2 linked regions of the Caenorhabditis elegans genome follow. The protein of the gene in region 1 interacts with the protein of each later gene in a pairwise test. Each region holds a gene or a part of one and is shown on either strand. Other genes may lie near its edges. The genes, in order: cks-1 and C39D10.7.

Region 1 (4,966 bases):
CTGAAATCCCAAAATATTCTAAATTTGATGCAGCAACTCGTCTATAGATTTATGTATATCGCTGAAACTTTGAGATTTCGACCATTTAAGCAAATTCAAGGATGGTTGGGATTCCAGAGAATTTTTCAGTGGAGACGTGTATTTTGTATCAAACTTTTTCAAAGTTTAAATAAAGGTATAGCAGATTAAACTTGTTTTTGCTGATTTTCAAATATTAAACTGATTGAAATACCTATTCAGCTAAAAAAAAAGTTCCACAAATTTTTTCAAATTTAATCAATTATTTCCATTTATCTCATATTTCATATTGAGATCATTTGGAGAAATTGAAACTAGTGGCAGACCTCTTAATTGCCAGATTGATTTTTTATAAGTATAAAAATTCAGTTTGAATAATTTTAAATCTAAAAGATCCGCTTGAATTTTCAATTTAAAATTCGGGAAATGACTCTGTCTCGTGGCCCACTTGTGTATGTCACTTCTCTCCCCACACACATTCTTCACAATTATCGTTCGGTTCACTAAATATTCACAAAAACATAGACAAACCAAATAAAATAAAGTGTTTGCCTTTTCCAATGTTTTTTTCGAAAAAAAAAGCTAACAACATTCTGCCAAAATAAATGTTTTTTAAAACGTTCCATTGTTGTAGCCAATAACTTTGAAGAGTTTTCAATCGTGTGTTCGAAATGAATAAAGCAGACTAGGTTCACCTTTTTCCACTTACCGTAATCTTGGAGATCAAAAAGTGAGAAGACATTCTGGTCGTGACAAGACCCACTGATTGTGAGAAATAAACCTCTAAAGAAACATTTCACGATGAATATTTCCATAAAACATGAACAAAAAATTCCAAGCTATACCAAATGAAATAGCATTTGGAACTCAAAATAATTGCGATGCTCGATGGGATTTCCTTTTCAACAAAATTAGCTTTTGGCAGCATGCAAAGTGGATCATTGCATTGTTTTTGGGTTTTTTTGAAGGGTGTCCAAGATTTCTAATGAGCCGACGGAGCCTTCTTTTTAGTTTATGAGTTCTATTTTCATAGAACATTTGAAACATCTAATTGTGTAAATTAAAATTCTAAACAGGAAAAAACACATTTTCAAGGCAAATTTTTTACCATCTAACTTGACGAAAAAATATATCATTCAGAAGTCAGAGAACAAGTTCAATTCCCCTGTGAAGCTTCACCTGTTCGAACAGTCATCCAGCGTCAGGCTTCCCGCAGCGGCTTTACTAGTATCAAATTCAAGAAGACATGCGCAAGTTTATACTGAAACAGCTAAAAATAAAACGAAATTTCCATGCAGGTCAGTGTTTATTTATATATAAAAACACGAATACGTCGTTAAATATATTTGTAAAAAGGACCAAATTGAATATTGGCGAAAATTAAAAAGAGTGGCGAGTGGGGGACCATTTTACAAATATTTCAGATTGATTTAGAGGTGGCTCCCGTTGTCGTCTTATCAAATTGGATTTGAATTGAATTAAAACACGTTAAGAACGAGAAAAAGTGAATGGAGAGCTGATGATGGAAGAGGATAAAAATAATAACATTTTACATATCTTGAACAAGTTTCGTGTGTAAGGAGAACGAAAAGGAAAACGAGAATTTGGAAAAAAGAATGGGAAGGGAGCTAGAGATCCATATATGTGAAATGTGGATTTGAACAGTATTAGCGAACTCCAACAGCATTTCCAGAACGAACATTTCCTCCGGTTTTTTGTGTAGCTGCCAATGGTCTGCGGAAAAGAAGCACGTGACGCTCGGGTCCGTGAATCATGTAGTGCATCCATCCTGGGGACTGAAACAAAAACTTGAAGCTATGAAACGATGAGATAACTTATTCTGATGTCAGTTGAAATTATGTTCGCTTTTTCTTTTTTTCTTAAGGAAAAAACCTATTTTAAATATTTACCTGTTGAATTCCAAGACTTCTCCACTCTGTTTCGGACATCAATCGATTTTTTGGGATAAGCTTGGAAACATCCTTGGTGACATGAACGTGACGGTACTCGAACTCATCATCTTCGTATTTGTTTGAATAGTAGAAATCATTGTTTCCAGTTGTCATTTTGTTGGTTGGCGTGAGAAGGTGCGACTCTGAAATAATTCATTTTATTAACAAGCATCGGGAAATAGAAACGGACAAAAATAAGGAAAGAATAAAAAATATTGAAAAAAAAGAGAAGAATGGGAATGAGACAAGAGTGAGAATGGTGAGGAACACTGCATGTACAGACAAATCGATAAATGCTCATTGCTGACGCTGTCTGAATTGATCGATAACATCAACAGAGTCGAGTTTCCCGCGTGTTTCAAAATACTCGTCCTTTGACATTGGAATTTGACAGTGCTTGGTTGACCCAGCAGAGGAAGATGATCTGAAATAAAAAAGGTAATAACATGAAAGCTAATAAAATTTTCAAAACTCACTGAACATTCAAAAACGTCTTCTTTTTGTCACTTTGTAAGTTGCTGTCGACTGTCACTGAATTAGAAAAATTAGATAATCAGAAAACGAAAATAATCTCTTCGAAACTCACACATAAAGCTATGTTTAGGTGAAGAATAATCCTTAGAGGAGGTTGGGGATGACATTAGGAACTGCAAAATTGTAATGTAAAATCCACTGAAGATGATCGAAGATGAAATCACAACGAGATATAAAAAATTGAAGGTGAGAAGGAATGATATTCAAAATTTTGCCAGGTCCTTAGCGTCGACAGACGCAGATACACGATCAAATCGACAAACAAATCCTTCGTCAGTTACTAGTACTAGGAATCGGCCACATGTAGAGAAAGAAGCTTGCCGAACTGTACGTGAGCCAACGGAACAAGTGTGAGTCCTGTAAAAAAAAAAACAGGAATTTATACTGGTAATCACAGCAAAAATATTTCTATAATTTTTAAGAGATATCGAACATCTCAGAAATTATTTTTCTTGATATTTTACTTACGGATTGGTTTCTTCATTATTTCTCAAATCGAAAAACATCACAGAACCACCAGCTCCACCGCACACCAGCCATCGTCTTCTTGGATCAACGGCGAATTTGATAAACCATGCAGAACCACTCGGAACATTCATTGTACGAAATTTCGTTGTACACGACTTTGGACGGAGAACATTTCCATGAATGCGATTTTCAACTTCTCCCTTAGGTGGCCCAAATCTCCAAAAATGAATTGCCTTTTCATTGCCACATCCTTTTGATAGTGCGTAGTTAGTACCGATAAGAAATCGAATGCAATCCACATAATCAGAATGCATATCAGTTGATACGGAGGATGGAGTATAAATTGGAAGAAGGCAGCTCCTGAAAAAGAAGAAAACGATAGAACCAGATTCGTTGAAACAACTTTAAAAAAGTAATGGATGCCGAAAATCAACGTACGGTCGGGGTATGAGCTCTCTGTGAAGTTCGAGCAATTGATCTTCTTCTTTGTCGGGAATGTTGCGAGAAACTGCAGACTTTCTAAAAATACAAAAATGAATTACATTATGATTTGATAGCCCTGGTCTCTTTATTTACCAGTCTTTTATCCAAAACTCAAGTTTCAAAAATATTTTTATATACAACAACAGCAACAATTTTCGCGTTAAGGACTGATCAAATACTAGAAGGAACTAGAAAATGTTAGCTGAATAATTGATTTACCTCATTGTTCCTTTCGAAACATACGGAATATCTTGTGATTGTGTTAGCACATTTATTTTATCTTGGTGAAGAGCTTTGCACGCTCGTTCCAAATGTTCCTTTACTTGTTTCACAGATAAATCCCACTCCATGAGTTGATGATCGAATCCACACGATAAAATGAAGTCTCCGTCGGTTGACCAATCCTAAAATGAGAAATTCGAAACGTAAGTAAATTTAATAAACCAACCACAGAAAGAATTGTTCCAGCATGACACTCGAGACCCCCAATAACAATCAGACATGCTTCGTTTCGAATATGATGAATCCGGATAGATTGATCTGATGAAGCACAGACAATCAGATTTGAGTTGGCAGGACACGTACGAATGTCATTGATTTCCCATCCAACACTCCGAAGACGCTAAAACTCCAAATTATTTCAGTAATTTTTGATTATTTACATTCGACAGCTTCCTCGAGACGTAGTCGATAACGTAAATGTGACCCAAAGTTCCACCCGTTACAACTTTAAAGGGATTTCGGTCGTTTTCAGCTTCATATGTGTCGTAACACCAGGTAACAGTGAAGAGCGACTCCTCTCGTTCGACCTTTGATGATTTATCGGTAGGAAAATTACAAGACCACTGCAGCTCAATGTTATTTATGTCGATGGGAACAGAATACATGTGAAGCTGAAAAACAAATATTTATACCTCATTGTCAGTTTCCTGCTAAATAACGCTTACAAAGCTTCCTCCGACAGTTGCAACCGCTTGTTCCTCATCTATTCCTGCGTATTGATTGAATGCACATCCGTAAATAGCTTTCTTCTGATCTTCAAGTAGCTTGGCAGTTAGTACAAAAGGTCGTTTTCCGTAATCCTCTGTACTTCGATCAAACCCGTGAAGATTTAATGATTTGAACTTTTTCGTGTGCTCCATTCAGGTTTTTGGGAAAAAGGCAAGAAACAATATATAACAAAATAAAAACTTCACAGTAAAAACATAAAAAAGTCGATTAACTATCAAATTTGCAGTGAAAAAGGAAAAAAATGACAATAAAAACAACAGAAAAACTAAAATATGGCCGCTCGCGCGCATTTCTCGTTCAAATTGCATTAGTGGTGAAAAGCGCGGCGAGACCCAACGAGCGCATAACCTCATGCACCTTTAAAGTGTTATTTTTTTATTACAATTTTTTGTTCTCATTTTGGATTCTGTTCGAAAGTTCCGGGAGGTATTTGTGATTTCGATTGGGAATATGATAGAAAAGACAGTTGCCAGCTTAAATTTTGTATTGTCGTGAAGTAC
Region 2 (9,680 bases), on another chromosome or scaffold:
TACCACCACCACTCAAAACATGATCTTCACTTCGCCAGTCAATGTCGATCTCGAATCCTGCTCGGCTGATCGAGTCACGGCTGCGTCCGCACCTGCCGATGAAAAGAAGATTTCCTCTAATCAAATCTAAAATATTTCCCATTCGCTTTTCAATTGTTGAAAATTGTTATCAAATACTTGATAACAAAGAATGATCTATTAATAAGAATATTCAGAAAAATATGGAGTGAAAAATACTCAAAAAAAAAGATTGAAATTTCTTTTGCCAATCAATTTGTTTGTGTTCCACAAAATACTTTCCCGCTTCCGTGTTGATATATTCAATTAGACGTTCGGGTAACTGTAAAATCTTAAATATACATTTGAGAAAAATGTTTCAATACTGTTTAGCATTTGTCGTTTAATAGCGATTAACGAAACTCCAAACTTGGAAATCTTAGATGATCTCTCAAAAATGTGGAAATTTTCAGAACCTTAAAAAATATTGTTCACTTTTTTATGCTGATTCATGGCGTCTCAAATCTTTTCTAATGGTTTTTTATCGGCTACTTTTTTGACGTTTCAATTATTTTTTAAAGCTTTTTAAAACCAAAAAATGTAAAATGAAGAAAATTCTGTAACTCATTTTATTTCTGAGCTCATGAAAGTGGAATTTAATTCTAAAAGAATAGAGAACATATATTTTTAGATTAGACTTGTCTCATCAAAAAAATTAAAGTTTTAAAAACCTAGAAAATATGTTTATCTCTGCAGAAAAGGTATAGAAATTATAGAAATATTATAACAATATAGTTCAGTGTCTTTATTGGCGTAATATCAAAATGATTTTTTTAACCTGAGAATTTGAAAATTATGCTATCGTTTTTAGACAAAAAAAATATTTTTTAAGATACACATGTACCGTGTTTTATATTTATACATGGCAGTTTGCTGTCCCAATTTAAATGTTTAATGCTTCAAAACTCTTTTTTTCTAAATATAATAATTCATTGAAAACTCAAAAAAGACGTAAGGCAAAAATAAGTGTATATATTAATATGACTTATACGCAGAACTTGTAGTTGGGGCCACATATGAAGCTGTAGTAGTTGTGGTTGCATCTTGTGCTTCAGTGGTTGTCTCGTACGGTTTGTGAGTAGTGGTGGTTGGAGTCTCTACATCGCGAGAGGGAGTTGTTGCTGGTTCTTCATACTGTGTAGCGGTGGTGGTATATGCAGCTTTGTAGAGAACCTTTCCAGTAGTCGTTGTTTGAGGTTGATACGGGGCTGCAGTCGTGGTTGGAGCTGGCTGCTCAAATCTTTTGGTGGTGTAAGTTGTGTAACTAGATGTGACTTCAGCAACTGGAGGTATGTAATCATTGCCACAGTCCTTATTGGTGCTCTTATAATTACAAGTTTGCGTGTCCCCATTGTACACCAATGGAGCAATACAAGTTCCAGACTGAAAAGCATATATTATTTTTGAATGTATATATTTTAATAAACTCACAAAGGCTCTTCCGTTGTCACAGACAATGTAATGTGGGGAGCACATTTTGAGGTGGTGGAGTCCGTTAGATCTGATCGTGCAGAAATCACTTGGCACTCTGAAAGTAAATGTTTCATCAGAGCAGTAACATGACAAAATCTTACGCTGGAGGTGTTCTGTCTAGAGTGGTTGCAATTGAGCATTCCTTTGCGTCAATTGGGAATACACACTTTTCGGATTCCTTGGAGAATTTGAGACTGTTCGGGCAGCTCATCTAAAAAATTTTGCGAAATACTGAACAACATTAATCGGAACATACCTTACGAATCTGTTCATCAATGCAGGAAAAGTAATATGAGGAGCACCCAGCAGAGTAATAACCATCTGATTTTCCAAAACAAGCATTCGAATCGATTATGTCAGATCCTTTGCCGCTAAAATTATTAAAATGAAAGTTGAAAGTTCTTTAAAAAACTAAGTTCATTAGGTACGATTACATTAATCCACCACATCAAATTCAGTACTCCGATATGCTTACATTTTGCATGTATCCACGGTGTGTTTGTAAGCACACATTCCATTCTTTTCGTTGTAAAAAAGTCCGGGGGCACATGAGGAAATAAGTGAACGACCTGCAATTAATAATTGCTTACTTTCAGATAACTTGTGATTTTGCACAGTCTAACCTTGCATGCATTGAACGTAGTCTTGTGAGCAGTACGGAAGAGCATAGATTCCATCAGGACGTCCGGAGCAGGAGAACGCCTTTGCCAACGGTGTGGTGTCTACTGGTCCTGGAGTTGTGGAGGTGTAATCAATGTTTGGGTAGTTGTAAGTTGTATATTTTGTCGTGCCTGGTTGCTCTGCTGCTGGTGTTGTAGAAGGAGTTGGCTTGTATTCTGGGCAATCTTCGACATGCTCCTTGTAGTCACATCGATTGTTCAATTTGCTGTAAAACAATCCTGCGGGGCAACGATTAATTGTAGTCTCAAAGTTGTTGCACGAGATGTAATAGTCCTCACAATCAAGACCGTAGTTTCCATTTTCGAGTCTTTCACAGAAAGCAGCATGCTGTGGCGATGGAGTGGTCACGGATGGATTGTACGCTTTGGTGGTGCTTTGAGAGTATCCATAGTTTTGATATGAAATGACTGGTTGCTCGGCAGCTGGTGTTGCGTCTGTAGTTGGTTTGTACTCTGGACATCCCTCCACATTTTCCTTCACGTCACATTTATCTTGTAGACGACTGTAGTACAATCCTGACGGGCAAGGGAACTTGAATGTTTTACGATTGTAGCATTTGATCAAGTATTTTTCGCAGTCAAATCCATAGTTTCCATCATCACGTTTTGCACACATTGCAGCGTATTTTGGGGATAGAGTTGTTGTGAAGATTGTTGATGTGTATTGTGGTGCGTACCCTGGAGTAACCGGAGTATATTCAATTGGAGCATATCCTTGGGTGGTACTTGGTTGTTCATATGGTTTGCTGGTAGTTTTAGGGTAGGAGTATGATGGAGTGGTGGTTGGTTGGTACCCTTGACAATCTCGGACATTCGTACTGTAATCACATTCTCCGACATATGGATTGAAGATCAGATTTGCTGGACATGTAGTTGCAACGACTTGTCCGTTTGCGCAAATGTAGAATACGCTCTTGCAGAGACCAGAGGCATGGTTTCCATCAGCGAGGTGTTTGCAGGAAAAGCTGGAAAGTATAATTATAACTGGAACACTTTTGACAAAAATGTTGTAAGCTCTTAGGGGGAATTTTTGTTTGAAATAGATTAAAATGGTTTCCGCTGCTTAACCTAAAACATTAATTGAAAAACCTTTAAAAAAATTTTCCTTGAAATTATACAATATACTTCTTACTTTTAAATTGGATAAAATTCGTAATTGAACAATATCTCAAATTTTTTGCCGCTTTTTTAAATCAGATTTCAGCTATTTGCATAATCTCAGATAGTCTCAAATTATTTGAAAAAAATAAACTAGAACATTAAAAATAACACAGCTGTGTCTTTACACATTAGAAGTTTTCCAACTAAAGGAACGCAATTTTTGTCGGAAACTGTCTGATTGAGAAAATTTCTAAAAACTTTCATTCAGTTTCCAAGATGTTTGTTAAATTTCAAATACCTCCAATAGCATTTTTGTGACAGACACTGTCATTGAAGATATTTTATGAATCTAATTCCTTGAAAAAACTGGAAAAAGTTAGATGTCTATTTCAGGAACTCCCAATTGAGTAAAATTGAGTAAAAATTGAGTAAAAAAAAGCTGCTAAAATTTTTATAGTGATCTAGTCCAAAGAGGGAGTTTTTTCCTTGAAATTAAAAAACTCACTCGTCCAAAGCAATTGTAGTTGTGACTGGAGCCTGAGTAGTGTATGTAGCTTTTGGTTGTTCATATCCAACAGTGGTCGGAGCCTTGGTGTAAATTGGACGTCCGTAAATCGTTGATGGCCGTTCAGTGTCTCTTGGTGGCTGTGTGTACGGCTTTGTTGCTGGTTGTTCAGTGGTTGTGTACACTACGGACGACGAGTATCCAATTGTAGTAGTTGGAGTGTCTTCACCTTTGTAAATTTGAGATGGTTCCATGTAGTTTCTGAAATTTTGATTTTATAACTTTTCAAACAATTTGAGATTGGTACTTTTCACAGTTTTCAGCAAAATCACAGGTGCCAGTAGCTTTGTTAAAGACTAGATCGCCAGGACAGTCATTCGCAAAAGCTCTTCCATCGTGACAAGTGAAGAAGCTTTTGGTGCATGCTTCCTTGATGTACTTTCCGTTTGGTTTTCCGGTACAGTCAAAGTCTACTTTCACTTCAGCTGGTCTCTCGTTATAGGCTCCTCCGTGATTGTAAAGAACAGGTACATCTTCTGGTTTTCGTGGCTCTCTAAATTTTGTTTTTAGATTTGACTTATTTATATCATATTTATGAGAAGATTATTACGAAAGTAAATCAACTTCCGATTCAGATTTTTTCTTGAGTAAACCTTATGACAGGGAAACTGACAAAAACTCCAAACCTATACAGTAACAAATTTCAATTTGAAATGAATATTCAACTTACAGACAAATTGCTGCGAATTCGCAAGCTGACACTCTTGTGTCGAATACAAGATTATCCGCGCATTGAATAACCCGACCAACTCCGTTGTCACAACTCAAAAATGATGCGTGGCACTCTTTGATTCCAAAGATTCCGTCTCTATTTTTGCAATCTCCGTGTACTGCTGGATTGTATCTGACTGTTGAAGAGAAGACAGGTGAAGGTGTAGCTTCAGTTGGAACATATGGGGCAGCAGTTGGATTTTGTGGTGGTGGATTTGGTGGAGCTGCTGATGTCGAGCGTGGGACGTAGGTTGTTCTTGGTGGGGAATAGACTGGCGCGGAAGCTGGAGCATATGGGGTTGGATCCACTGGAGCTTCAGCAATTGACCCATAAGAAGAAGAAGAAGTAGTGGTTTTTGGTGCTCTATACGAAGTTTCGGAGCTGAAATAAATTACCCAAAAGTAAGTTTTGTTAAGTTTTCTTCATTTACACAACAAATTTGATCAACTCACCCGTTATATTCTGGACAATCTTTCACAGACTCTGGAAAGTCACACAGGTTTTGGTCCAAAACGTAGATTAGCTTTTCTGGACAAGTTTTTCTGAACAGCTTTCCATTCGAACACTGCCAGAAATATGGGGAACACTTCACGTTATCAGTGAAATGCATGTCTCCAGTAACTTTACAGTCCAATCCTTAAATAAACATTTTTAATGATAATAATACTAGTAAGGCCGAACCATTGTGCCCATTTTCAAATTCTTTGGTAGTGACGATGTAGTTATCCGAATCATATGTTGGTGAAGCATAGGCAGCAGCTGCTTGATCTTTAACTCCTCCAGAAGCATTACAGTTGGTGTGGTAATCGCATCGCTTGAGAATTGGAACGTATACTTGCTGGTATGGACACCTTCAAATTGATTATGTGTTTTCTTTAATAAGTTTTCTGCACTTGAAACTAACTTTCTCATGTAAGATATTCCATTTGCACACTGATAATAGTTTTCATTACACACAGTCTTGTCCAGTGCATAATCCCCACTAAGTCTGCCCACACAATTTATCGAACTGAAATTTTTCAATTAAAATATTTCAGAAAAAATAATTTTCCAATAAAACTCACACGGCCTTTTGGCGGACATTGAGTGTTACACGATCACCTGTGGCACAGAGATGGTTGCTAGAACGACGCTCACAACGTGCTAATAAGCGGTCAAAATAAAGACCCTCTGGGCATGACTGCTCATATTCAACATTCTGAAAATTATATAAAAAATTTTAATTAAATTCAGATTTATGGTTTAAACATTCCCTTACAATAGTTTTCCATTACTTTGAAGTGGTCTCAAAAGAAATAAGAAAAGAAAATAAATATTTGTTTCATTAAAAAATGGTATCAGCTAGAGATGCGTATGGGTCGTAATGGGTCGACTCGCCTATTTCACAGTTATTCTTTTTTTTCTCACAATGGCTCGCTTTTTGTCGCTTTTTTTTCATTTTCAAAGTATCATGAAAATTTTCGAGCTAAAAAAATTTGGTATTATCTTTAAAATTCGAAAATTTGAATTGCAAATTTTTATGACTGTTCTATTGCAAAATATGTGACGTGAAAGGTACAAATATTGCAAATCGTTATAGTATATTTTTTAAAGATGTAAGTTGAAAAATTTAATGTCTGACTTTGGCATGAAATAGTATTTTTTCGATAAAATAATGAAAATAATGATCCCTCCAAAAAATTTAGCTGCCCCGATCCAGGTTCAGCAAAGTTATGACGTTTTGAAAGTGACTAAAACACCTTTTTACAAAATTTCAAAATTTTCAAAAAAAAAACATTTTTTTCTAAAAAGAGGAAAAAATGTTTGCAAGTTGTTTTAGCTCACAACTCTCAAGAAAACCCACAAACTAATCTACCAGAAAAAGTACTTTTTGGAATTTTGCTCAAGGTATGTGGTTTTTTGTCCGTGGTGAGAAAAAACGTGTATGATATATGCTTTTCACTGTTTTGGATAAGTTAAAACAGTTTTTATCGATTTTCAGAAAACAATTTTTTTTTTTGAAATTTTAAAAGTTTTTTTTTTGGTAGGTCAAGAAATTTTTTCGGCACTTTCAAAACATCATAACTTTGCTAAACCTGGACCGGGGCAGCTAAATTTTTTGGAGGGATCATTATTATCACTCTTTTATCGAAAAAATACTATGTCATGCCAAAGTCAGACATTAAGTTTATCGACTTCCCTTGTAAAGCTCCAAAAGAAAACTCACGTTGACACACTGAAGATACTTTGAGCTGCAACCAACAGCATAAAGCCCGTCACCATCCGGGCATGGTGGTCCTTTCGGGTTCAGAACATTTTTGGCGTCCGCCGAGATGAGGATGACAGCCGCCGCAAATATTGAAAGCTGTCGCATCTAAAAAATAAAAAGAAAATTGCGAGAAGAAAATTTGAAAGAAATGTGAATGATTGTTTATCTGAAACACAATGCTTTTATATTGTCAATCTGTTCTGTCTTGGATGGTGGGCGGATTTTGTTCTGCTCTTATTGATAAAAAGCTAGAAAACCTGTAGATTGGAATTCAGATATTGATCAAAAGCCCAATCCATCAGATATTTATTAATAAATAAAAGAATATCAAGCACTAAAAAAGAAAAATGAATCAACGAAACATTCACATTCTTTTCTTTGCAAGTATAGTGTTCAATCTAGAAAGAATAAGTACCTCGAAAACTGAGATCTTATTTTATTTTCGTTTTTCCTTATGACAATCTCTAAGTTTACCGGGTGACCCGGAATGAACGAATTGACGTATCCAGTCAATAGTAATTACGAGATTATTGACTGTTTACCACAAGAAAACACGACTTGCAAATCGTGCAAAAGTTCGGACAGCCTTGGAAACGGATGATGTTCGATGCGCATGTGTTTTTGTAGAAAAAAAACGGATTAGAAAGATATTTCCGGAAACTATAGTATTTTTCTGGCATTGTCAAAATTAACCTGGTTGTAGAATAATTATATCTTCTTAAAAAGTACCTTATCGACGAAACAACATGAGATTTACAAACGAAATATTCAATAAAGTAGCGAATATAATTATAATTAATTGCTGAACATGTTCTGGGTAAGTTTTTTTTGAATCTCTAATATAACGATTAAAAACTGAATTTAACATAAAATCGTTTGTAGCCAAAAAGAGTAAATGTGAAATAGTAGTAACACAAATAATGTTTCAACCGTAATTTTCCTTCATAGTTTAACATGTTTCACTTAAAATTTTATTTTAACTATTTTTATTTACATTGTTAAATATCGCAACCAGTTAATTATCACGAGTGTTTATTCCAGGTTATTTAATTAGTCACACTAATCAATTTGAAACATACAATTTTAAAATAATCAATCTGCATTATTCAATTCGCATACCCTTCTCGAAACAGTTCTGACGTAGTGACCTCTTCGAGCCTCACCATTGCTCTTCTCGATCCCGCCCACAGTTGATATCTCTTATCATTTGAATCTTCCGGCAGCATTTGTCCTGGAAGAAAAATGTTCATTTCCTGATGGGAAAATTTTCAAGCGAGAACAACTATTGCACAATCTGTGATATTCTAACATTTTCCGCATTGCTGTCAAAAATGATATCACTTATAAGAAGTATGAGTATACATGAAATCATTAATTCCATTCCAGGTGAGATGGAAGTTGAAACAGAATTAGAAATTAAAGAAACGTTATATATTTGGAAATTATTCATAGTCTTGTTACAATTAAAAATTAAAAAAAACTGTCTGTTTTCTAGACTACAATAAAAGAAAATGAGACTTTTTTTCGAAAAATAAAAAAGTTTGAAAATACATTCAATTTGTTAATGTATGAAAACGTATTTGAAACTGCTTTACTAAATTCAATAGGGTATTTATTTCAGCTAAAAATTCAATATATAACCTCAACTAGTGTCAAAAATATGTCTTAAAAAATGTTTCTTAAAAAAAACAACTTCCATCCAGTTTCTCTTCGAATTTTTCAATTCATTTTATAAATTTATTCAACTTTAATTGTTAAGTTTGTAATATAGAATTATACATCTACAGTTATTTTTACTTTAAAACGTTCATTGTCGTGCCGAAATGACAACTCAATATTATTGGATTATCAACCATCTTAGAATATCTTAAATGATATAATATAAGCATATTCTACCAAACATCCAGCGTAATTATCATTCCTGTACGTTTGACCCCTTCCAATTGGTAGAAGACAGGTCACACCATGTGGTATTACTTTCCAGCTGCTGCTGACGTCATGTTTGCTACGTCACGGGCCACGTAAGTAACCCAGGCCGCACAAGAATAAATATACTTGCATCATTTTGCACCAATTGAGAAATTGCTCCGATAATTATATTTGAATTTAAACCCCCGATTTTCTTTTTCAGAAAAGCAACTTTAAAAGCAGAGTAGGCCACAATTACCAAAGTATTAGATTTATAAAATCTAAAAATGTCAAATTTAACAAGATTATATAAAATCACATCAGATTTCAAATCAGTTGATCCCTTTTCTGTTCAAAATTCACTCTTATTCTTGAAATTTTATGAAAGGTCATTTCCTTATAAATTGCGTGCCAATTTTGCGACTACAAGCCGAAAAATGCGTAAATTTTCGAAATTCCTGTTCGCGCAAGACTTCACTTTACCTCGAATATCTTTGTTTCTCATTGACAAATGGATTTCAATGACGTCATGAGGTTGCATAAGTGTACTTTTTCGCATATCCGTTTTAGTCGGTCGGGCAGAGAAGAAAGAGAAAAGCGTATGACTCATCTAGGTTATAGGTATGCAAGTGTTTCACAACATTTAGTTTGCATTATTAACAGTCGATGAAATTTTTAATGAGTTTTTTTGAATAAAACAACTTAATTTTTCTCATTAACCAAATAGTTAGCATTCATTCAAAAAGTCCCCCGTTCAAAAATTTATTCAACGTAAGAGTCAGTTCATTTCAGAAATGTTTGATTAAATAAACTGTTCAAACTATTTCTGCCGTTCTCTGATATTCTAAGGAACAGATAGAACCATGAAAAACGCCGGCATCACAACAGCCAAGCCGGAACAGAGAACAATTTATACTTTGTGTAAACCCAGCTTTT

Evidence for each region.
Region 2: the proteins of cks-1 (region 1) and C39D10.7 interact in a two-hybrid assay, tested with the Caenorhabditis elegans proteins (2 studies listed by BioGRID).

What each region holds. Positions count from the first base shown.
Region 1 is NC_003282.8:8,511,068-8,516,033, reverse strand, and holds cks-1 (Cyclin-dependent kinases regulatory subunit), read right to left. Parts: upstream 2,116-4,966; 5' UTR 2,085-2,115; coding exon 1,929-2,084; intron 1,815-1,928; coding exon 1,686-1,814; 3' UTR 1,309-1,685; downstream 1-1,308. Other genes in the region: C09G4.4 (uncharacterized protein), read right to left, coding at 2,268-2,394, 2,447-2,501, 2,557-2,611; Polycomb protein mes-6, read right to left, coding at 2,708-2,861, 2,973-3,332, 3,411-3,491, 3,675-3,859, 3,904-4,077, 4,118-4,348, 4,403-4,597. UniProt on the Caenorhabditis elegans protein: Binds to the catalytic subunit of the cyclin dependent kinases and is essential for their biological function. Has a role in the exit from M phase during early mitotic cell division.
Region 2 is NC_003284.9:7,906,990-7,916,669, forward strand, and holds C39D10.7 (Chitin-binding type-2 domain-containing protein), read right to left. Parts: upstream 6,942-9,680; coding exon 6,795-6,941; intron 5,787-6,794; coding exon 5,653-5,786; intron 5,598-5,652; coding exon 5,493-5,597; intron 5,440-5,492; coding exon 5,270-5,439; intron 5,225-5,269; coding exon 5,041-5,224; intron 4,970-5,040; coding exon 4,547-4,969; intron 4,370-4,546; coding exon 4,124-4,369; intron 4,078-4,123; coding exon 3,817-4,077; intron 3,176-3,816; coding exon 2,154-3,175; intron 2,100-2,153; coding exon 2,006-2,099; intron 1,902-2,005; coding exon 1,787-1,901; intron 1,742-1,786; coding exon 1,632-1,741; intron 1,586-1,631; coding exon 1,489-1,585; intron 1,441-1,488; coding exon 1,033-1,440; 3' UTR 977-1,032; downstream 1-976. Other genes in the region: C39D10.1 (uncharacterized protein), read left to right, coding at 1-130.